Linked DNA regions of Callithrix jacchus. The protein of the gene in region 1 purifies or fractionates together with the protein of each later gene. This does not show direct contact. Links are inferred from orthologs where the notes say so. Each region holds a gene or a part of one and is shown in the gene's direction. Other genes may lie near its edges.

Region 1 (3,500 bases):
GTTTACCGTTTTTCCCCTAAATATTGTTAATTGGAATTGATTCCTGCTTGGTGTTGGTAAAGGTGCTTTTCTTGTTGCAGGCAGATATCTGGTCCCTGGGCATAACAGCTATTGAACTTGCAAGAGGGGAACCACCTCATTCCGAGCTGCACCCCATGAAAGTTTTATTCCTCATTCCAAAGAACAACCCACCAACATTGGAAGGAAACTACAGCAAACCCCTCAAGGAGTTTGTGGAGGCCTGTTTGAATAAGGAGCCGAGCTTTGTAAGTTTCCTGGGGATCTGAACATCCCTCCCTATGTGAGTTTTGACTTGGTTTAGATACATCCTGTTGGGATTTCTTTTCAGCTGTCTTCATGGAATTCCTCATTTTTCTTTTTCTATAAATAAGTATGATTGACCTCTTTGGTTTGCAAATACATTTTATAAGTATTAGCAATTTCCTTATTTTGCTTTAGATTTCTACCATCTCATACTTCATTGAATCTGAAGAATATTCTCCTTAATATTAAATGTGGAATCATCAAAGTTTAATATCGATAGAGGATCAGGCCATAAACTGTTACACTGTTTTTAGGAATGGGAAAGTTTAGCTTGGAAATAAGTGGCTAAATATGTCTTTAAAGTAAATGTTTTCAATTTCCAGATGGCATATGTTAGGAAACAAAAGATTAGAAAATACAAATACAACCAAGCCCCTCTTTGCTATCCCCGCCTCTTCCTGCCCACTTCTCTTTTTAGGTTTAATGGACTCTGGCAGAGCCTTACAGCAGTAACGACTGCCTGGCTTTGCCCTGTTTTCTCTTTGAATTAGGACATTTATTTGAAAGTTGTCAGTGTGTGTCGGTGTTGGATGCAGCACCGTATGTCATTGATTTGTTTGAGTTTTCCAGCTGAAGGCCAATCTGAGCACCCCTTTTCCTAACTCTTAATTAAAAATGGGTGGTTACTTTTACAAGAGCACCGTGGTTTTCTAATACACCGGTTTTGGTAAAGGAATTAAGTGGGAAATGCAATATTTTCTTTTTTTTTTTTGAGACGGATTCTCACTCTGTCACCAGGCTGGAGTGCAGTGGCGTGATCTTGGCTCACTGCAACCTCCGCCTCTTGGGTTCAGGGGATTCTCCTGCCTCAGCCTCCTGAGTAGCTGGGACTACAGGCGTGCACCACCACACTCAGCTAATTTTTGTATTTTTGGTAGAGATGTGGTTTCACCTTGTTGGCCAGGCTGGTCTCGATCTCCTGAACTCGTGATCCACTGCCTCGGCCTCCCAAAGTGCTGGGATTACAGGTGTGGGCCACCGTGCTTGGCCAGAATGCAACATTTTCTAAGCACCTCTAAGGAGATGCAGCCGGAGACCACCACGCCAGTGATTGATCACCCCATCAGCGTGAGGTAGTGGTGAGGCTTGTCCCACGTGCCATGATGCTCTGCATTTTATTGCATGATGATGTTTGTTGCACCCACCATGCACTGGTGGAGATGCGGCCGCTTGCAGGCATGCCTTCCCATGCACAGCATGCGTCTAATACGAGCTTATTCCCCAGCACACACCGCTCCACCCTACAGCTACTGAGGAGCCGGCTGAGAGGCGAGAATATGAGCACCTCAGGGGTAGTTGGGGTTTTACCCTCATGTGGACAGAGAGGGAGAATACCTGAGGTGATCAGGTTTCTCACGAGTTTGAATCTGAAAATGTGCTTGACTCTTGTAATCAAGCTTTCGTAGTTTGGAGTGAGTGGGATCTTGGTTTGACTTGGGGTTTGGGTGTTCCTTCTGTCTGTTCCAATTTGGGCCAAGCTGGTTTCCTTGGGAAGCACATTCCCTATCACTGTCACCATCTTCAAGGCAGGTAGCTGGCTGGGTGCTGCTTGCGGTGGCCATGCTGAGCTCAGGGCATGGGTGAAGTCCTCAGCCCAATAACAAGGGAAGGGAGGGACCTGGGCAACAGCCTTTCTAAACTGGGACAGTGGGTGATGAAGAGCACCCCGCTCTTTCAACAGACAGGAAAAAGGGCATCTGCTGGCTCCCTTATGGTTTCTTTGAGATAATTCCAAATTGACATTTCTATTATGTGTCTGGATGTGGTCAAACATTAATACAGAAAGTTAACAAAGCGGCCAGGCACGGTGGCTCATGCCTGTAATCCTAGCACTTGGAGAGTCTGAGGAGGGTGGATCACCTGAGGTCAGGAGTTTGAGACTAGCCTGGCCAACATGGTGAAACCCCATCTCTGCAAAAATAGAAATAATACACTAGGTGTAGTGGCACATTCCTGTAGCCCCAGCTACTTAGGAGGCTGAAGCAGGAGAATCGCTTGAACCTGTGCGGCAGAAGTTGCAGTGAGCCGAGATCTCACCACTGCACTCCAACCTGGGCAACAGAGCAAGACTCTGTCTCAAACAAAAAGTAAAAGCGACACAGAACAAGTATTTTGTCAGCATTTGTCATAAAGTATTTTATAAATTAGGAGATAAGCTCTCATGAATAATCCCTCTGAAGTTCTGTGCAGAGTTTTCTGTGGAAGTGCATTTATCTGGGGGAAGTTCTTGTGCTTTCATTGGATGGCTACCTGTAGAATATTAAGGACCTCCTTGGAAACTCAGTGCCATGCCCACCACAGCACCCGGAGTCCAGGCGTAGGTCCTGAGACTCTCATCTTGGGGCGAGTCACAGTGAGAAGAGCTGTGGAGTGGAGTCCAGTCATCAGGCAGGCTGATGTTTTGAGGCTGAAGTGTGTCCTTTCGGCGGGGATGGAGAGCTTCATCTCATACTTGGGTTGTTGTGTGTGTTTTTCCAGAGACCCACTGCTAGGGAGTTACTGAAGCACAAGTTTATCCTACGCAATGCAAAGAAAACTTCCTACTTGACCGAGCTCATCGACAGGTACAAGAGATGGAAGGCGGAGCAGAGCCATGAGGACTCAAGCTCTGAGGATTCTGATGCGTAAGTGGCCCCTGGGTGGCCCAAGCATGGTGTAGGATGGAGCCGCTGGTCCTTGTCACTTGTTTGGTGTGCATTTCGTTTCTTGTTGAGTTTTTTTCAGATAATCCAGGTTGGTGGCGATTGTTGTGTTAGACACAGCATGGGCCTGTTTGGGCATCATTTAGCCTCTTGATGTTGTCAGTGGAGTTTCTTCGAGGGAACTCTTAGAGCTGTGCGTAGGGGTCCAGACCTGGCTGTTTCACTGTGTTCTGTTTTGTTTCTTTCTGTTCTGTCTTGTTTTCCATTACACTTCATGTTCTTAAAATCCTGACAAGGTGAAATTGTATCACATGAATACCTGAAAGGCTAGAAATGCATGTTTTTGTGATTCCCTGTTGAGTCTGGTAGAAGCTCTGTACCAGGAAGTGACTTACGGAGAACTGCTTTCAAGTTCGGCATCTAGGAATTCCTTTGGCATCAGAGGCAAAGTGGGGCTGCAGCCATTTGTGTGGGGAAGGCTGGGGAGGCAGTCGGGCCAGGGATGTGTCAGGAAGTGGGAGCCTGGGAACTCAT
Region 2 (4,145 bases), on another chromosome or scaffold:
AAAAGGTTTTCTCTGCCCGGGTTTGTGTCATATTTAGATCCAATTTGGAAAGTGGAGCAATTAAATTCTCAAAATCTTTCATTAAGACCTGCCATTAAAAAAAAAAAAAAAAAAAAAAAAAAAAAAAAGCTTTGATCTGTAACTCTTGGACTGAACATTCCAGTCATTCATCTTCCAGAATTTCAAGTGCAGGATTTGGTTGTGGTTTGATTTTACTTTTTTGAGACAAAGCTTGAATGTCTCAATTTGATTTTATGCATTCGACACATTTTTAGGGATCTGGTGATTTGGGAAGGGCTGTACCATATGGTCTTGGTAAGGTGATAGATTTTCACATTCTGGAAATTGGCAGCAAAGGGTAGGAAATGAGTTAGATGTGGGAAGGGAAGTCTGAGTGTTTGGGCCTAATTCACTCACCTCATGAAAAGTCTTCTGAGTTGGGTAATTCCCATAAAATCTAAGTTTACAAAGATGGTTTTTGATTGTTTTTTGTGTATACGTACACGTATCCTCACACGTAGGGAATAATTTTTTTAAACTCTCAAAAGTAGAGGGCATAACATTTAGCTTTTAAAGCTATGACATTTAACACTTCTTGGTTAGTCCTTCAGAAGAGACCTCAGACTTGAGGGGTCAAAGAACATAAGACAGCCAGATACAAGTTCCCTGAAAAGGAGATTACAGAGTTAGGTGCTGAGGGGCCAGTGCCATGCACTAAAAGAAAACAGAACAGACACATCGTTTTCATCTGAGGACTGTTTTTGGAGAAGGACTAGAGTCAAGATAGAGTAAGTAAATCAGAGCCAGGTGTATATACACATACATTGGGAGGGTAAAAACACCCTGGCGGCGGTGAAATTTAAGAAAGCAATTTAAGAAGAAAGGGGTGCCTTGTGTGATTCCTCGGGGCGGGATAGAGGGAGCTGAAGTGTAGGATTTTCCCTGATCTTTCAGAGAATTCAGTTTCAGGAGGCCTGACATTTAATCCGGTCTGTGCAAGGATTTCTCGGGCTTGGTGGGGGTTCTGCGGCACGCTTTCTCCCTTCACCTCTTCCCTGGTCTTTGATCCCTAGCCAGTGCGCAGAACCGCAGCGGAGTCAGGTCGTGCGCCCATTTCTCGCACCTCCACAAGCCCGCGGCTGGCCCAGCAGGGCGCGGGGCGGGACCGAGGCGGGGCGCTCCGGCGCACAGAGGGTTAAGCGGCGAGGGCGGCGGCGAGGGGCGGAGAGAGCTCGGCGACTCTCGGCTCCCTGCGCCCGGCTCCCGGAGCCCGCGTCCCGGACAGCAGCGGGTTAAGCGCCGCCCGCGCGGAGAGGGCTGAGTCCGGAGCCGCGGCTCCGAGCTCGCATTCGGATCCGCTAGAGCAGGAAGATGGCGACTGACGGCGCGAGCTGCGAGCCCGACTTGTCCCGGGCTCCAGAGGACGCGGCGGGGGCAGCGGCGGAGGCGGCGGTAACCGAGTTCCCGGGGCGGGTGTGGGGCGAGTGTAGACGCGGGCAGGGGGCGGCGCCGGGGCCCCAGCTGGACCGGGCTCCGCACCGCCGGGGCGTTCTGTAAGCCCGGGACCCTCGGGTGCCCCTTCCTCGGGGTGCCCGCAAGGCGATGCCGGTGGGAGCGGAGCGGCCACCCGGGCTGGGGCTCCGTTCTGCCCCTTCCGCGCCCCTGGGGAGCGACCCCAGGTCGCCTGGTTCTCCCAGCCTCCTGCGTGCGTCCCACTCGACCCCTTCGCCCACTCCCTCCGCTGCGGTGGATTCTGGCGGGGGGCGAAGGCTGGGACGGGTTTCCTGGCGAATTTGACCCCCCATTGTTCACCTCTCGCTGCGCGCATGGTTGCGAGCGCGTGTCTCGCGGGTGCCTGGTACCTCTCAGCGGACCTGGGAGAGCTTCGAGGGGGAGGCGGGCCATCGCCCAGCAGGTGTGGGGATGCCCATTGTGTGCATCTGTTCCGGTGCCTTCGGGAGGCCCTTTGGGAGAGACCCCGTGTCCAGCTGTTGGCGCTGCTGCCGCTGAGGCCAGCGCTTTAGGTCCTAGCAGCCTGCTACCCCATCACTTGGTGGTGGTGATTGGAGTGGGGTGAAGGGGTTGGTTCTTCCCGAGGCAATGCCCGGGCGAGGTGGAGGTTCTGCACCTGGTTTCAAGACATTGTTCTCCTTCTTTGGGGTCTAGAAGGCCAATGCGCTACCATTTATAACTGGTCCTCACTTTCACCCCCTGAATATCTCCGGGCAGATACTCACTGGTGGTTTCCAGCCTCTACCTTGGGGGAGGGCTGGACCCACATTTCCCTGGTGGAAAACGTTCTCAGTGTTTGGGAAGCAGCCTCGCAGGAGCTGCAAGGATCTGCAGAGAAAGGCAGATCTGTGAGCGCCTCCCACTCTTGGCCCGATCTAGCTGCTCTTGCCGGAGGATCGGGGTGGGTTGGAGCGAGCGGGGCGTAGACGCCCCCTCCCTTCCTCTCAAGACCTGAGCAGAGTCCGTGCAAAAGCGGGAGAGGGCAGGGCCAGGCATAAACAACCAGGGCCGCTTTAACTTCCTCCCACCCTCTGGAGGTAGGGCTTTCTGGAGAGGGAAGAGAGATGTGGAGGAAGGTACTTGGGGTGAGAGGAACTGAGCCTGGGAGTGGAGGGAGAAACAGGGGGAGGAGGACTGCTGATTTCCACTTGTAAAACTGGCAAGTTTTGATTTGAACTTTTCGGAAAACGAACTTTTGTGAAATCAGAGCTTTAAGATTTCCAACGAAACCTGGCCACTTAACGTGAATCAGCTCCCCTCTGTGGGGCACAGTAAGGAAACTAGCTATTAAGACAAGGCTCTCGGGGAAGTGGAAATGATTTGGTGCCTTCATCCCCAAAAGGTGGGAAGGAGAAGAAAGAGGAAAAAGAGGGTGCGAGGTGTGTGTGTGTTTGTAGGGGTGCCTGTGTAGGGGTGTGTGTGCAGGTGTGATGTGTGCGCGCGCAGGGGTTCGTGCAGGGGTGTGTGGGTGTGTGTAGGGGTGTGTTTCTTGTTCCCCAGGTTTAATTTGTTTACTTAATCTACTTAGAATGGGTTTCTTTCTATTACCCTCTATTTTAATCACCTGACAATTAACCCAAACACAAACATCTGATTGATGGTCTGTAGAGCTGATATATAGTTTTGTTTAGTTAGATCATAAACAAAACTTTGGTCGCCAGGAAGATTTCTGTGTTAACAAGGTCAGTGTTCCCTCTCTGCCGTTTAAAATTTTCAAGTCTGATTTTCACTGCTGATATTTGGGGATTTGATAATTTCACCCTTGTTAATGGGCAGAGCCATGGAAAATCTTCGAAAGTGAACCTTCTTTGCTATTTCCGTAGAATCCTTTAGGGTTGCCAGATGCAATAAGGATTCTTCATCTAGTAGTTAAAAAGAAATAAACTTCTGACATTTTAGTAAAATTTCGATGATGTCTTCTTATGTAGTAAATTGGGCATTTTATTTTACTTCTCCAGTTTTGACTTAATAAGGCATGGTTCTCTCATATCAGCCACTTGACTTGTAGATTAATTTTGAAATGAAAGGAAAGCTAGTGTAGAGGAGTGATATGTGTCATCACAGTTGCTCCTTAAAAATCAAAGGCGTTTTAATGCACGTTGGGTTCTTGTTGACTGAGAACTTAATTTTTATTTTAGTGAACAATTCACTTTGCATTTTGGAGATTTATTTAATTTCAAATCAGTTTACATATTGTACATTTTTATGTATACATTTGGCAGTAAGGAGCCAATGGAAGCTCTGAAGCAGTAGGCTATTTTTGAAAGTCAGTGTTTTCACTAAGCTTTGACTATTTAGATTGTTGCTTAGAAACAAGCTTAATTTATAGTTTTCAGTTTAATATCATTTTTAGTGGAATGTTTTAAATTTAGTTTGTGATCCTCATTCTTAGCTGTTTAAATCCTAAAAGCATACCAAGTTTAAAGCTGGGTAACAGTTACATTATTTAGTAGGACTGTATTAATAGTCTTTGCCATGAACCATGCCGGGAAACCTGGGTTATTTTCAGTGCCTTAGCCAAATGTGATGACTTTTATAGGCCATATTGCTGTTTCTACTCTGAAAATAACTCCTAATGGATAAGGCAGTATGGAAAACAGAAATCTTCATACTTTTTATTGTCACCAAATAAT
Region 3 (3,984 bases), on another chromosome or scaffold:
TGTTTTTTTAGTATAGATGGGGGTTTCACCAAGTTGGCCAGGCTGGTCTTGAACTCCTGGCCTCAAGTGATCCACTCGCCTCAGCCTCAGAGCCCCATGTTTTAAAAAAGTTTGCCTCCTACACACTGCATTAATAGTTTTAATTTTATTAATCAGGCACATAGAATTACCATTTCAGAACTTGCGATCACCATATGTAGTTATCACTCCAAGCTGCTTAAATTCCAGTCTAAAACAAACAAAAAGGACATTCTAGTTATTCTGTGCTGCCCTGACACGGGTAGGTGAAAACTTGCCATTCAGTTTTGTAAGAAGGAGCTCCCAGATCTCCACTTCTTCCCCTTGCTGCCTCTGAGGACTCTTGGGGGTTTAGGGAGGCCAGTCTGGGTTTTCTTATTCAAGCAAAGTAGCCACCCCACCCAGTTTGGAAGGATTAAAGCTTGTCCTAGTTTTGCTTCATTGTTGTACTTCTAGCATGCTAAAGAGCTGAAAAATGGGAGGAAGAAAATACAACAGAAGGCACCATTCCAGTACCAAACTGAAAAGAAACACAAAAACAAGAGAGCAGCATGTTTTTAACAGCTTGCGTGGAAAAAATATTGACTGGGGAGTTTGGACAGCACTGTTCATTTTCTCTCACCGCCCGCGTTATTTGTCTTATGGAGCAGGAGCCAGATACCATTCTGGAGAACAGGCCGAGGGAAGAGGTGGAGGGGTTCTGTGGAAGCTTGAGGCTGAGCTGAGTAATTAGGGCTGGAGATCCTGTGGCTCAGTGCCAGGATGCAGTCAGGGGAGGTGCTAAAGCCTTCTTCCTCCTGGCCTCGGGCACTCTCTTTGGTCCGCCTGAGTCTTAAGAGGGCACAGCGCGGATCACCCAGGTAGGTCCCTGGCCCCTTCAGACGAGCCGGATGAATCACTGTCCCTGTTTCTTTCGGCTAGGGAAAGGACGCAGGGGTTCCATTCGCTTTCTCAGTCCACCCATCTTCTTGAGTTCAGACCTACAACTCCTGCATTGGGGGTCGGAAGGGAGCCTTAATCATCGGGACAGAAACTCAGCTCCTCAACCTCGGCTCAACTCGCGTGGCAGCTTTAGTCCCTCCTGCCAGGGCGCGGGGCGGGGCCTGGGAGCGGGGCGGGGGCTGGGCGCGGGGCGGGGCCTGGGCGCGGGGCGGGAGGCGGTGACCAGCAGTAGGAGGAGAAAGAACATGGCGGGCGCAGCGGGGCCCGGGACCTGCCCGGGAGCAGCCGGCGGAGGTGGAGACGATTCGCTATACCCTGTCGCGGTTTTAATCGACGAGCTCCGCAATGAAGACGTGCAGGTACTGGACTGAGCCCGGGGAGCCGAGGTGGGCCCGGTCGGTCGCGTGGTAGAGAAGGGGGAAGGCCTGTGCCGCGGTGGCTATGGCCGGGGGACTGATTGAACCGGACTCAGCAGAAACTTGGAAGGGCAGGCGAGGAAAGATCCGCGAGGGGACGTGGTGGCACGCCCCGACTCTCCCGGTGACCGCTCCAGTACCCCTGCTTCGGACCCCCTGAGGCGTCCGCCCGGAGCCTGGCCTTTCCAGGGCGGTTGTCCGGGAACCCGCTTCCCGCCTGGGCCGCCCCGCTTCGGGCTGTGAGGCAGCTGGAGGAGCGCGGTGCGGGGCCGAGACCGGGCTGGAGCGACTGAGGGCGCAGGATGCGCAGAAGCCCTTTGAAGTGTCCCGGAATCCCTTCGTCTCGGCCTAGAACTGGCTCGGCTTGTTGGGTAGAAAGAGGAGGTGGGATTGCCGATCAACCTGGACGTGTCGTATCAGCTTTACGGGAACTTTTCTTTGAAACGACAGGCGTTGTATTCGACCGTTTCACCTGCTTCACCACTGCCAAAGTGCCCTCTTTTAAAAATTATCTTACTTCCTGGGTGTTGTATTATCTTTCATTCATTTCTCTTCCGGGGCCTTCTGAGTGTTTCTCCTAGGAAATCTTCCGCTGGCTAGTGAGACCGAGTTACATTCCTCTTGGAAGTCCCTTAACAGTGAAATGTAAATGAAATGTTAGTTATCCTCATTCTTACCCGTGTCATTGTTTCACCTGTTAGCACCTTTTGTCTTTTGATCTAAATTTAACCGTTTCTTTACATTGATTTTCTTTCTCCTTTTCTGAAGCTCCGACTCAACAGTATTAAGAAGTTATCAACAATTGCCCTAGCACTTGGAGTAGAAAGGACACGAAGTGAATTGCTGCCATTCCTTACAGGTATGTGAACCTTTGTTTAAAGAAAGGCAGGGACATTCCATTTTCCAGTAGCTTTCAACACTGACTTTTTTAGTTTGTTACCCACATTAAAATGAGCCGGGTGGTTTATGTGCAAAAGAAACAGAACAGAGTATATTGTTACTTGTGGCTAGATATATTCAAACAATAACCATTTAGCTATTGGGAAAGTAATTGCTATGAGAATATGAATTTCCAATTTGTTGTGCAAAACAGATCTAGGAAGAGAGTTGATTGAGGAGAAGGAAGAAAATGCTGTTAGGATTTTGACTGGGCCACCTTACTGGTTGCATAGTGAATCTGGTCCTAGTTTTGCGTCAGTGTACGGCTGCTGTGGGAGAGCTGTGTTGATGAGTCCCTGTTGTTGTCACTTCCAGATACAATTTATGATGAAGATGAGGTACTATTAGCTCTTGCTGAGCAGCTGGGAAATTTCACCGGCCTAGTGGGAGGTCCTGACTTTGCCCACTGTCTGCTGGTGAGTATACTGCTGCTTACCCTCCTTCCAGAACTTTTGCAGTATAAATGATACATTGTTTCGTGACAGGCATACTGCAGCATTTTTTATACAGATCTTTTATGGGCAGATTATCATAATGTTAGTCACTGAGAGAATAAATAATGTAAGCATTTTGGACTCAACCCATTCTTTTTTTTTTTTTCTATGAATAAGATAACTTTGTCCTTCTGTGTCTGTATACGTATTAGTTTAGATGTAGGGAGAAAAAGGATTTGATTGTTTTTATGGTTCCCCTCCCCCCAGGTTGAAAGTCTTAATTCTCATCTAGTGGCATTTTGTCTTTCTCAGTATAACTTTTGCTTCTGACTTTGTGAGTTTGATGAATTTAGTTCAATTTAATTGACATTTATTGAGAGTCTGCTTTATCAGACACATCGTTAATTTGCAGTGTTAATGTGAGTGGGCTTGTGGTACAAGCCTGTATAGTACCAGCTACTCAGGAGGCTGAGATGGGAGGATCACTTGAGCCCAGGAGTTTGAATCCAGCCTGGGCAACGTAGTGAGACCCCTATCTCTTAAAAAAAAACGTGACCACCAGGCTGGGTGTGGTGGCTCAAGCCTGTAATCCCAGCACTTTGGGAGGCCGAGGCGGGTGGGTCACGAGATCAAGAAATCGAGACCATCCTGGTCAACATGGTGAAACTCCGTCTCTACTAAAAATACAAAAAATTAGCTGGGCATGGTGGCGTGTGCCTGTAATCCCGGCTACTCAGGAGGCTGAGGCAGGAGAATTGCCTGAACCCAGGAGGCGGAGGTTGCGGTGAGCCGAGATCGCGCCATTGCACTCTAGCCTGGGTAACAAGAGTGAAACTCCATCTCAAAAAAAATAAATAAATAAAAATTACCACCAAAGTAAATGGAATGAGGTCCCTGCTTTTATGTGCCAGCAAATAATTACTGTGCAGTCTTATATGGAAAGATAGAAGTATCTACAAAATACCCACATAATAAAGGGGAGAAAGGGATTAACTCAGGGTGATCAGGAAAGACCTCTTGGGAGATGATGTTTGAACTGGGTTTTAAAAGATGACCAGGAATTCAACAGTTGGACAAAGTAGGATGTATGCTTCAGGGCTTTCAGTACTGGGTATGTAATACGATTCTCGCAATTTCGATCTCTAGCTCTGACTTTTCCATGGAACTCCTGAGGTAGATTGATTAATAGATAAGTATGAATGTGTATATATGGAGAGATCTATATTTTTCTATCT
Region 4 (3,500 bases), on another chromosome or scaffold:
ATTGACAGAATCTGTGAAATGGGAGAAGTGATGAGGAAAGCAGTTCAGGTGGATGATGACCAGTTTTGTAAGATTCAGGAAAAATTAGCCCAATTAGAGGTAAGATTGTTGTCATTTTGGGTTCACAGTATTTCAGAGTTTCCAGAGTCTGGAAGATACACCCTCACTGTCCTATCACTGTAATATATTGATGTTTTCTGTGTGTTTATGATTTAAAATTAAAACTCCTCCTTCATACCCTATGAAGAAAGAAAATATAGTAAACAGCAATCAAAGGAAATACCAACTATGTATTGGCAAGAAGTTGAGATATCATGCGAAGGTAGTGGGAGTGGAGGGGAGAAGTTATATGTGAGATAAAATCCTCATCTGCCATAATAAGAAGGGAAATAGGTAATACCTAACTAAAATCTTTGATCAGGAAATAGCAGTATAAATGTATTATTTAGAATTATGAATTAAATACCAAAAGAAATAGATAAAATAGTGGTTGCATTTGGGGTGCAAAGCCAAAGAACCGCTTGTATAAGCCATGTAGTCTTGATTTCTTAAAAGCTATGCTTATGTCATATTTTGATTAGAATAGGAATATGTTACAAAAAAGGGTTTGGGGTATAGTGTGCCCATAAAATTGTTAAGGAAAAACATTTCAATTTTGGGAGGTTAAGGCAAGTGAATTGCTTGAGCCCAAGAGTTCAAGAGCAGCCTGGGTAACATGGCGGGACCCTGTCTTTACAAAAAAAATACAGAAAATTAGCCAGGTGTGGTGGTGTGCTCCTGTAATCCCAGGTACTTGGCGACTGAGGTGGGAGGATCACATGAACCCAGGAAGTCGAGGTTTCAGTGAGCCACAATCACATGTACCACTGCACTCCAACTTGAGCGACAGAGTGAGACCGTCTCAAAAATTTAAAAGAAAAAAAAAAGCGAAGCATTTCAGTTACTGGTTTGAGTGCTGCTTATTACAAGGTGCTGTCCTGGGCCTTTTGACAAATACCAGAGAGAAAAAACAGGTACCTACCCAGAGTCTAGTGGAAGGAATAACCCTAGTACTTATATGATATGAAATAGTATGTGTAAGTGCTAGGAGACAGATACAAATACTGAAGGAAGCACTTCATGGGGTAGATTTATCGACTACAGGCTCTAATCTCTTAGTTACTCTATCTGCGGCTTCCACACATCTTGGTGAAGCTAAAAATGCTTTGGTTTACCAGAATTTTCTGCAGAGAATAAGGATGAAGAGTGCAAGCTACCCTGTCTAGAAATCGAAGGTAGTGACAGGTCCCAAGTAGTAATTAGGAGCCAGTGAAATGATAGAATGACCTTCTATTTGTCCCCAATTTCCTCACTTATGGAAATAGCCCTAAGGAAATGTGGGACAAGTTCTACTTTAATACTTCATGTAGAAAAAACATGACCACATTCAGACCCCAGCAGTATCACATCCAAGTTGTCTGAATTTTGACAACTTTTTGGAATTTTGTAAGACAGAGTATCCTCATCTTAAGTAGAATATGGATGTAGGCAATGATACCCTACCCTACGGGTTATTGTGGGATAACATATACAGTGCACCCATGCAGTACCCAGCTACATGCTTAATAAGCCCCTTTTCTTCCGTTTCTCTAGAACTGTAAGATATCCAGGAGTGGAGACTAATCAGAGTGAAATGATTATTAGGAATTTTTTAAATAAAATAAATAATAGTAAAACTGTGGGAACCATGAAAAATATAACAGTGAATTCCTCAGGTGGAGAGGGACCTTGTTTTTTGTTTTTCCTTTACAAGCCTCACAGTTGGTATATAGAAATTACTCAGTAAATTACTACTACAAAAGAGTATCATTGCCTACATTCTACATGTAAATGTTTGTTAAATGAATAAATAAGTAGTATTTAAGGAAATTCTCAATTCGTGGACTTTTTGTTTCCTTAAAATTTTTTTAATTAAAATAATGTTTTTTGCTCCTGGCCCAAAATAATGTGTTTTTATAACACAGTTTGACAGTAAAAAATACCAGAAATAAACATGCCTTTTTTTTCCAGCTTGAAAATAAGGAACTTCGAGAATTATTGTCCATCAGCAGTGAGTCTCTTCAAGCCAGAAAGGAAAACTCAATGGACACCACTTCACAAGCCATCAAATAACTGAGCTCTGAATGATGGCTGGAGATTGTCTATCAAAGAAGGAAGTTACTATCTTCCCATTCAAGTACTGTTCATTAAGTGTCTTGCCTCAGATTTGATTTAACCTTGATTACAGTTATCAGGTGGCAATTTAGAATTTCCAGTCAATATTGCTGTCCATGAAAACGGTTCTCAGATGTATTAATGTGGATACATGCTGAATTTCACTATTCCTTTCTCAAAGAGACTACTTTTAATTTTTATTTCTGGGACCTTGATTTATATAAACTGTGTTTTCAATTCATTGTTATTTTTCACATCTCTGAAACTTTGAGCATTTTTTTATAAGCCAGCAATTTTATTATGTATAGCATTGTAAAATACACTCCTAGGAAATTTTAGGAGAGATTTAACTTTTTAAATTTATTTGGCATAAACCTTGGTTTATCTTTTTTTTTTCATTTGATATAAATAATACAATTCCACAGAACTAAATCAGTTGATTCTCTGATTTGTAATGTCATTCGCCTGTGAAGTTTTAAGTCTCTCTGGTGCTAAGAATTGGCACTTTATGGCCTGGTGCCTTTGCTTTTAATTTGAGAGAACCTACTGCTAGTCCCAGGAAACATACTTGGAAATAAGTCAGCTATATTTTTCCCCAGTGATAGTATAGTTGTCATACATTGTTCAAAGTTCACATTGTTCAAAGCTGAGGAACTTGTCTTGTGTATGTGCATGCACACATGTAAGTGCACTTATTTCAAATACTAAAATTAGCTTTTATTAAATACAATCAGCCAAAAACACAAGAAAATCAAAAAACCCAAATATAATGAGTCAATTTTTCTTAGCTTTTTTTTTTGAGACAGAGTCTCACTCTGTTGCCAGGCTGGAGTGCAGTGACACGATCTCAGCTCACTGCAACCTCCAACTCCCTGGTTCAAGTGATTCTCCTGCCTCAGCCTCCCAAATAGCTGTGATTACAAGCACATGCCACCACGCCCAGCTAAGTTTTGGATTTTTAGTAGAGACAGCGTTTCAGTATGTTGGCCAGGATGGTGTCGATCTCCTGATGTCATGATCCACTCGCTTCAGCCTCCCTGAGTCAATTTTTCAATGTTATCCTACTAGTTCTACATTCTATTTTAACTTTTATATAATTTCCATGTTGTAGTTAAGAACTGTCACTTACTTGGATTAGATGCCTTTCACTCCTAGTACTAATAGTTGACTTTCTTTTTAGGTCTATTTTTTACATAAAAGTAGCTTTTTTTCTTTTTAAAGCTATATACAAAGGTAAGGAAGCAGTTTTATTACCTAATGAGAATTATTACACTCATAGTGCTATGTAGGCAACATTGAGATAAAAA
Region 5 (3,500 bases), on another chromosome or scaffold:
TGGGCAACATAATGAAACCTCATCTCTCTAAAAAAAGTCAAAACCTTAGCTGGGCATGGTGGCATATGTCTGTTGTCCCAGCTACTTGGGAGGCTGAGGTGAGAGGGTCACTTAAGGCCAGGAGGTTGAAGCTGCAGTGAGCTATGATCATACCACTGCACTCCAGCCTGGGCAACAGAATGAGACCTTGTCTCAAGAAAAAAAAAAAAAAGACACCACAAACTGGAGGTAACAGTTAGAAAATGGTGTGTTAGTGTATAAAGTAGATAATCAAAATAGCAAATAGGCCAGGTGCGGTGGCTCATGCCTGTAATCCCAGCACTTTAGGAGACTGAGGTGGGCGGATTACTTGAGCTCAGGAGTTCAAGAGACCCCGTCTCTACTACTAAATACAAAAAATAAGCCTAGTGTGGCGGCATGCGCCTACAGTCCCAGCTACTCAGGAAGCTGAGGCAGGAGAATTGCTTGAACCCGGGAGGCGAAAGTTGCAGTGAGCCTAGATCACACCAATTCACTCCAGCCTGGGCCATGGGGGGGGGGGGGGGCGGGGTGTGTGTGTGTGTGTGTGTGTGTGTGTGTGTGTGTGTGTGTATGGATGAGATAGGTTCTGATAAAAGGCATTGTTAGAAATAAAAAGATTATTGATGAAAACTGGCCCAGTTCTCTAGGGAGAAAGTATTTTAAATTTGTGTTTACCTAGTAGTAGCTTCAAAATATATAAAGCAAAAATTGACATAAGGGAAAATTAAGAAATGTATTATGATTTTGGGAAAAAATTTAGTACACAGCCTTGCCAAGATCTCAAGCATAGATAAGGCAAAACAACAATAAGCGAGCTGCATTTAACAAAACCCTGGGCCCAAGAATTGCACAGCATTCTGTATAGGTACACAAACTGTTAAAGATGGAGCCCTCATAAACTAATGTAGACCGACTACATTTCCACAGAGGGTACTTGTAGTTTTTGAATTTAGTTTTTTTAAATGTGTTTGTGTCAGAATCCTAATACTGTAATGAAATGTTGAATTTGTTTTTATACTGCAGGGATACAATTGGTGTCATGATCGGAATGTGGTTACCATTTTCAGTGCACCCAATTACTGTTATCGTTGTGGGAACCAGGCTGCTATCATGGAATTAGATGACACTTTAAAATATTCCTTGTGAGTAACTGTAAATTTTAATTGTATATACTTAATTTCAGAAGGAAAATTTTAAATGTTAGAAATAGATTTCTGCTTCTGAAATGGTAGGATAAGGGCAAATGCCCTCCCCAGCAAAAACAGCCATTGGCTGGAGAATATTATTTTAAAAATAATTTTTCAAAGCTTTTGGAAATTGTCCTAAGGGCATATCGTAGATGGAGAAACAGTTAATTCAAAAAGACCTACTAAATCTCAGTAATAGTAATAGTAGTCTTAGCATTTGAGCTATGACTTGCTCCCTCCAAATCCTCCCAGATTCCTCTCACAGAAATGACTACAGGTGCTCTACTCTGGGTGGGTATAGTCAGGAAGCTAAGGGATCCCCCTCTTCACCCAGTGTTGGAGCTGTGGTTTCACTCCCAGAGATCAGATGCCAGCTCTCTTAGTCTGGAGTTACCGAAGCTCTACTCCTGGTAGATGCCATCAAGCAGGCTGAGGCCCCCTCCCTGACCCAGCTCCTGAACCAGAAGCTGTGCTCCAGGCATGGACGGCAGATGAGAATCCTGGGTTTCCCAATGCTGTTACCCTAGCACCTGCTCATAAACCAGATGGTATCCCTGAGTACACAGTGGCACAGAAGTTCTGCTCAGGAGGAAAGTCAGGTCACAGAAGTTCTTCAGCTCTGCCTTAGAGGACTTACCTTACTTAGATGATGGAGAATTCCAAATCTGAGTGCTTTGTGGCAAACAGTGGATGTCATGGTGGAGACCAATTAAAAGGGCTGTTATAGCACCTATGATACTAGGAGCGACATGCAAAAGAGCAGAGCAACAAGTTCTTCAACAGATAGCACCAGGGAAAAAGCCAAGAAAAGCCCTTCTGGGATTACAGTCATCTCTGGGGGACAGGAAGGCTGTGCACAGGCACTAGCCATAGCCACTCAGGAGCAGTCAGAGTAGGATGTGGGTTATTCTGTGAGATTCTCAAGCCAGACATAGATTGTACTGAGTTGAATAATGTCCCCCCAGACATAGATTGTACTGAGTTGAATAATGTCTCCCCCAAAAGAAAAAAATTTCATATCCACCTAGAACCTGAAAATGAGATGCTATTTAGAAATAGGATCTTTGCAGATATAATTATTAAAGATTAGATTATACTGGATTGGAGTGGGCCTAAATCCAATCCGAATGGCATTTTAGTAAGACGAAAAGAAACACACAGGGGAGAATGCTGTGTGAAGCCAGAGATTCAAGTGATGCATCCACCAGCCAGGGATTGCCAGAGCCACCAGAAGCTGGGGAGAGGCTAGGAAGGATTTTTCCTAGAGCCTTCAGAGAGAGCATGGCCCTGACAGCACCTTAGTTTCAGAGTGGTAGCCTCCAGAACTCTGAGAGGATAAATCCCTGTTGTATAAGCTGTACAGTTTGGTAATTTGTTATGGCAGCCCTGGGGAATGGATAAGTAGACTGATCAACAAATGGTGTAACCCTCACTGGTGTGTGAGACTTAAACACAACCTCTAATCATTGACTGAATAATCAATTACTCCGACCCAGGGGCACCTCCTAGGAAGCCAGGCTTTAAAATAAAATCACCGTCATCCCTGACAGTCTGGCAGCATATGTGCATGCCCAAGGTTACATCCTCTCTGGACTGAGTGGAAAAGGACGATCCAAGCTATTAGTCCCTGGCTGAATGGGAAGCCAAAATGTAAACTCCTTCAGCTTCAATAGCAATCTGCAAGTCACATAACATTTCCAGTGGTCATTAGGGTGAGCTTTAAGATCTAACTGGCCAAGGGAACTTAAGTACAACCTTTATCAGTAAGTGGCTTATGCGCGTACCCAAAGACAGCCTCTCAGTAACCAGGCTGAAAGATTAAAACAGGCCAGGTGCAGTGGCTTATGCCTGTAATCCCAGCACTTTGGGAGACCAAGGCGGGCAGATCACCTGAGGTCAGGGGTTCAAGACCAGCTGGACCAACATGGAGAAATTCTATCTCTATTATAACTACAAAATTAGCCTGGCATGGTGGTGCCTGCCTGTAATCCCAGCTACTCGGGAGGCTGAGGCAGGAGAATCACTTGAACCCAGGAAGTGGAGGTTGCGGTGAGCTGAGATCACACCATTGCACTCCAGCCTGGGCAACAAGAGCAAAATTCCATCTGAAAAAAAAAACCCCCAAGTAAAAACATCTGAACAGGGCTGCAGGGGCTGTACACTGTTGGGGAAGTGGACTTAACAGCTAAGGCACTAAACAAAAATTAAAATAAACCACCAAAAAAACAAGATCAGTCCCCAGTGACCTGAATTCCAGAGTTAACTGCAATATATTATCTTTAATGTCCCATT
Region 6 (3,512 bases), on another chromosome or scaffold:
AGCAGAGGGGAGGATGGTCCTTCGGTTAGGCGAACATCCTAAGACTTGAGGGAATTTGGCTGCTCACACTTAAGGTGGCTGCGGGCGACTCTGTTGCCCACAGCTAAGATGGCTGCTTATGACCATCTCCTTTGGCCGCCTCTGCTTTTTGCTCACTAGTATTTTCATCGAGGATTAAAGCGAATAAAATTTAGCAAAGGTTGGCATCTCCTTTCCAAGTAGATAAAATAAGAAGGTGGCACGGTTTGTTTCGAAAATCTTCTAGCGCGCGAATTGTTCTTGCCCTTAACGAAAATGGTCGTTGTGGTTGTCCCGAGGTTTGAAGCTTCCAGCCCTTAAATAAGATGGCGCCTAGAGGCGCGTTAGAAATTAGCTTGCCCGTTTTTCTGCCCTCGACCAACACGGCTTCCGTGGCGTCGCTCACGTGACATTCCTGGACTACGGCGCGGGAGAGGGGGTAGGAGGGCCCTTGAAGGGAGCGCGTTCCCGTGGCGGTGTACCCGGTAGGTTTCAGTCAGAGTCACTATGGCGGCCGGCGCTGGCAAGGTAAGCTGAGGCGGCGGTGGCGGCTAGGGAGGTAGAACCCGTCGTGGCGTCCTGCCTCCAAATCCTCGCAGCCCGCTTGTGGAGAGGTCGGCGGAGGTCATGCCTAGCGGTGGGAGCTGGCGGGGGTCTGGCTGGAGGGGGCGAGGGCTGAGGCGGGCGGGCTGAGGCGCCTGACGGCCGTTTGTTTTGATATTTTCCCCACCAGGTCGGAAAGTTTCCTGCCTCGTCCGGCGCAGCTTGAGCTTGCTCCATTGGCCGTGATCGGTGGAGGCTGCGGCGGACCCAGCCCGGGGCCTCCAGGCCTCTCCCTAACCTCCGGGCCAGTCTCCCTCCCCCACCTTCTCGTCCGCCCGGAGCTGCGACTGCTGTCCCTGAGATGCGACCCTCGCGGGGGCGACCCTGAGGGGAGGCGGCCCATGTGCTGAGCGGCGGCGACCAGGAGCCCAGGCGTCCGGGGACCAACTTCCTGCCGCCCGAGAACCCGAACCTCCCGGTGTCGCGCCTCGCTCGGTCCGCACCGGCCTGCGGAGCCGGGTCCCCGCCCTGGTCGCGGGGACACCCGCCAGGTGCCCAGGAGTCCCGACTTGGCCACTGCTCGCGCCCCGCCGGCCCCCACGCCTCGCGCTGAGGACCCCAGGCACTGCCGCCTCGCCACGCCGGGGACCGAGTCCCCCTTCCCGGGGCGGCCTCCGCGCAGCAGGGGCGATGCAGACTGTCCCGCCGGCCGTTTAGAGCCCCTCCGCCTCCGTCACCTCTCGCCCTCCACTCCGGGCGAGCACGGGCGGTGGCTGCCCGGAGGTGCCCGGCCACACCTTCCTTCGGCCCAAAAGGACTTTCCTGGCCGCGCCGAACCACGACCCTTCCTTCATGCTGCAGTGCTGCAGCGTTTCCGCCACCGAGGGGGAAAAGCGGCCGCGATCTCAAACCAAACACAAGAATTGGAGTGTGACTCATCTGCTTGGATACCTCCAGTCCCCAAACTGTGCTCCAGGAGTTTTCTTGGCCGAAGCTGCCCGATGTTTGAGCCGTTTCTTCCCAGAGAGGAAGATGGACTGAAAGCTGCCCGTTGGGGACTTTTCGTGATTAGGGCACTGCTGGGTTTTGGAGGAGGTGATGGGGCTTGCGCTGGCTTGTCTTCCCACCCAAGTGAAGAGTTGTTGATGTTCACTGGTTATGCATAGACAATGTGCAGTTTGTTTTAATTTAAAATTTTGGGTGGGATAGGGGTATAGGCTTGTGAAGGGCAGCCCGGATCCGGAGGAACTCCTCTTTGTCCCTGGTAGGAGAGACACCCCAAGCCTATCCTCGATGCCGTCAGCCTTGGCCATCTTCACTTGCCGCCCAAACTCGCACCCGTTTCAGGAGCGTCATGTCTACCTGGACGAGCCCATCAAAATCGGCCGTTCAGTGGCCCGCTGTCGACCAGCGCAGAATAATGCCACTTTTGATTGCAAAGTGCTGTCAAGGAACCACGCTCTCGTCTGGTTTGATCACAAGACAGGCAAGGTAATGTCACCACCACATTGTCCAACTGCATTGTTTAACAAACTCCTCCCCCACCCCACCTTTGCCCTCCCTGAAAGGCCTGACTTTTGCAGGATCCCAGGCTTTGCATCCACAGGAGGCTTTGCGCAAAGCCAGGAATCAACTGTTTGTGTGCCTGGTTCTAGTGGAAATTTGATTGAGGTGGTTGAATGGAAAACAGAGAAGGTATTGTAATTAAAAGCCTCAGGAGAGCTATGGCATCTTGATAACGTAGTCATTCCCAGAGAAATCCCAAACTAGATTGTGAAACTTGGCGTCTTGCTTTCAGTCTGTTGAGAAAGGTGAATTCACAGTTCAGCTCTTTATTAAGCAAGCAGCAGTTCTCAAAGCAATTCGGGGAATCCGTGGCCATTATTACCCTGGTGCTCAGGTGTCTTTGTGGTGAAATGTAGTTAACACATAGCTTTAGTTGAGTTCAGATCAAGACCTTTCTAAGTAAGGACAGTTGCTGGTGTAAACCTAAGATTTTTGAAAGGTTTGCTATATACTTGCTCTTGAAGGAATCATTTGCAATAATCAAAGCTAATTTAATTAAGCATGAGAACTGTACTTTATATATATTGAGAGTTTTTTTTACAAGTTGGTTGCACATACATATATTGCATTTGAAAATCACTTTTTGATGTTCCCTGCAGCACTTATTAAGTACTTATTGCATACTTACAGAGGTGCTATGCAAAAGTTAGTGTTAGGAAGTGAACTTATTTTCTGAAATTACACCCTAGTCTTTCAATTATAGTGTTACTTAAATGTGATAGGATGAATTCAGTGCTTTTCATTTTAAGTGTAACCATTTTTAGCATTTTTGCGTTAGTATCATGACTTACTATACATGTATGAGCTTTTAAGAATGAAGAAAAAAGATAGGATCATTTCCATTTTTAAAAACTATTTATGTTTGTGGAGAGTATACTAAAGAGCTCGTCTTAGTGCCTAAACCTCAGGTTTTTAGCCGAGCTACTGAATCAGTTCCAACTTTAAGTTATGTAAGACTAATAGGACTGTCTCAGGTTTCACCTCCTGACTTTTTGCCCCTTCTTTCTGAGTTAAATAATTAAATCTTTCTTAAAGGAAGAACTTAAGTCTTCAAGAATATGTTTTGAAGTGAAAGAAACCTGAGCCTCAAAAGGAAGAGAAAAAAATGATAACTTTGGCAGCTACTGATTTAAGGAAATATTTTATTATTTTTTAAAGAAAGGAGGAAAAGACTGTCCGAGTTATGTGTGCTCCATAATATCTATATTGTGTGTGTAGCATGAGAACTGAAGAGTATGTTAACTTTTCTGTGTAACACCAGTTCCTCATTTACCTGTGGAACAGACCCTTCCCCCAAGCTGGTTAGGGGTGCCTAAAATACTTCATAGATTACTTGATATACATATATATATTTTTTTTTTTTTTTTGACAGATTTTTACTTGCA

The links.
Region 2: the proteins of STK24 (region 1) and CTTNBP2 purify together in Homo sapiens (affinity purification with mass spectrometry; 3 studies listed by BioGRID and IntAct, with this or other methods). This does not show direct contact. The link is inferred for Callithrix jacchus from reciprocal best matches to the Homo sapiens genes STK24 and CTTNBP2.
Region 3: the proteins of STK24 (region 1) and PPP2R1B purify together in Homo sapiens (affinity purification with mass spectrometry; 3 studies listed by BioGRID and IntAct, with this or other methods). This does not show direct contact. The link is inferred for Callithrix jacchus from reciprocal best matches to the Homo sapiens genes STK24 and PPP2R1B.
Region 4: the proteins of STK24 (region 1) and SIKE1 purify together in Homo sapiens (affinity purification with mass spectrometry; 4 studies listed by BioGRID and IntAct, with this or other methods). This does not show direct contact. The link is inferred for Callithrix jacchus from reciprocal best matches to the Homo sapiens genes STK24 and SIKE1.
Region 5: the proteins of STK24 (region 1) and PPP2CB purify together in Homo sapiens (affinity purification with mass spectrometry; 5 studies listed by BioGRID and IntAct, with this or other methods). This does not show direct contact. The link is inferred for Callithrix jacchus from reciprocal best matches to the Homo sapiens genes STK24 and PPP2CB.
Region 6: the proteins of STK24 (region 1) and SLMAP purify together in Homo sapiens (affinity purification with mass spectrometry; 6 studies listed by BioGRID and IntAct, with this or other methods). This does not show direct contact. The link is inferred for Callithrix jacchus from reciprocal best matches to the Homo sapiens genes STK24 and SLMAP.

Annotation. Positions count from the first base shown.
Region 1 is NC_133502.1:14,170,682-14,174,181, reverse strand, and holds part of STK24 (serine/threonine-protein kinase 24), read left to right. Parts: intron 1-80; coding exon 81-266; intron 267-2,802; coding exon 2,803-2,948; intron 2,949-3,500. UniProt on the Homo sapiens protein: Serine/threonine-protein kinase that acts on both serine and threonine residues and promotes apoptosis in response to stress stimuli and caspase activation.
Region 2 is NC_133512.1:88,462,301-88,466,445, reverse strand, and holds the start of CTTNBP2 (cortactin-binding protein 2), read left to right. Parts: upstream 1-1,345; 5' UTR 1,346-1,371; coding exon 1,372-1,452; intron 1,453-1,763; exon of another isoform or gene 1,764-1,915; intron 1,916-2,384; exon of another isoform or gene 2,385-2,549; intron 2,550-2,553; exon of another isoform or gene 2,554-2,827; coding exon of another isoform or gene 2,828-2,854; intron 2,855-4,145. UniProt on the Homo sapiens protein: Regulates the dendritic spine distribution of CTTN/cortactin in hippocampal neurons, and thus controls dendritic spinogenesis and dendritic spine maintenance.
Region 3 is NC_133511.1:11,467,480-11,471,463, reverse strand, and holds the start of PPP2R1B (serine/threonine-protein phosphatase 2A 65 kDa regulatory subunit A beta isoform), read left to right. Parts: upstream 1-1,184; 5' UTR 1,185-1,205; coding exon 1,206-1,319; intron 1,320-2,144; coding exon 2,145-2,235; intron 2,236-2,630; coding exon 2,631-2,731; intron 2,732-3,984. UniProt on the Homo sapiens protein: The PR65 subunit of protein phosphatase 2A serves as a scaffolding molecule to coordinate the assembly of the catalytic subunit and a variable regulatory B subunit.
Region 4 is NC_133508.1:152,756,826-152,760,325, reverse strand, and holds part of SIKE1 (suppressor of IKBKE 1), read left to right. Parts: coding exon 1-99; intron 100-2,049; coding exon 2,050-2,151; 3' UTR 2,152-3,500.
Region 5 is NC_133514.1:31,956,876-31,960,375, reverse strand, and holds part of PPP2CB (serine/threonine-protein phosphatase 2A catalytic subunit beta isoform), read left to right. Parts: intron 1-1,044; coding exon 1,045-1,163; intron 1,164-3,500.
Region 6 is NC_133516.1:39,559,933-39,563,444, forward strand, and holds the start of SLMAP (sarcolemmal membrane-associated protein), read left to right. Parts: upstream 1-1,500; 5' UTR 1,501-1,854; coding exon 1,855-2,052; intron 2,053-3,512. Other genes in the region: uncharacterized protein LOC144579547, read right to left, coding at 511-1,500. UniProt on the Homo sapiens protein: Associates with the striatin-interacting phosphatase and kinase (STRIPAK) core complex, forming the extended (SIKE1:SLMAP)STRIPAK complex.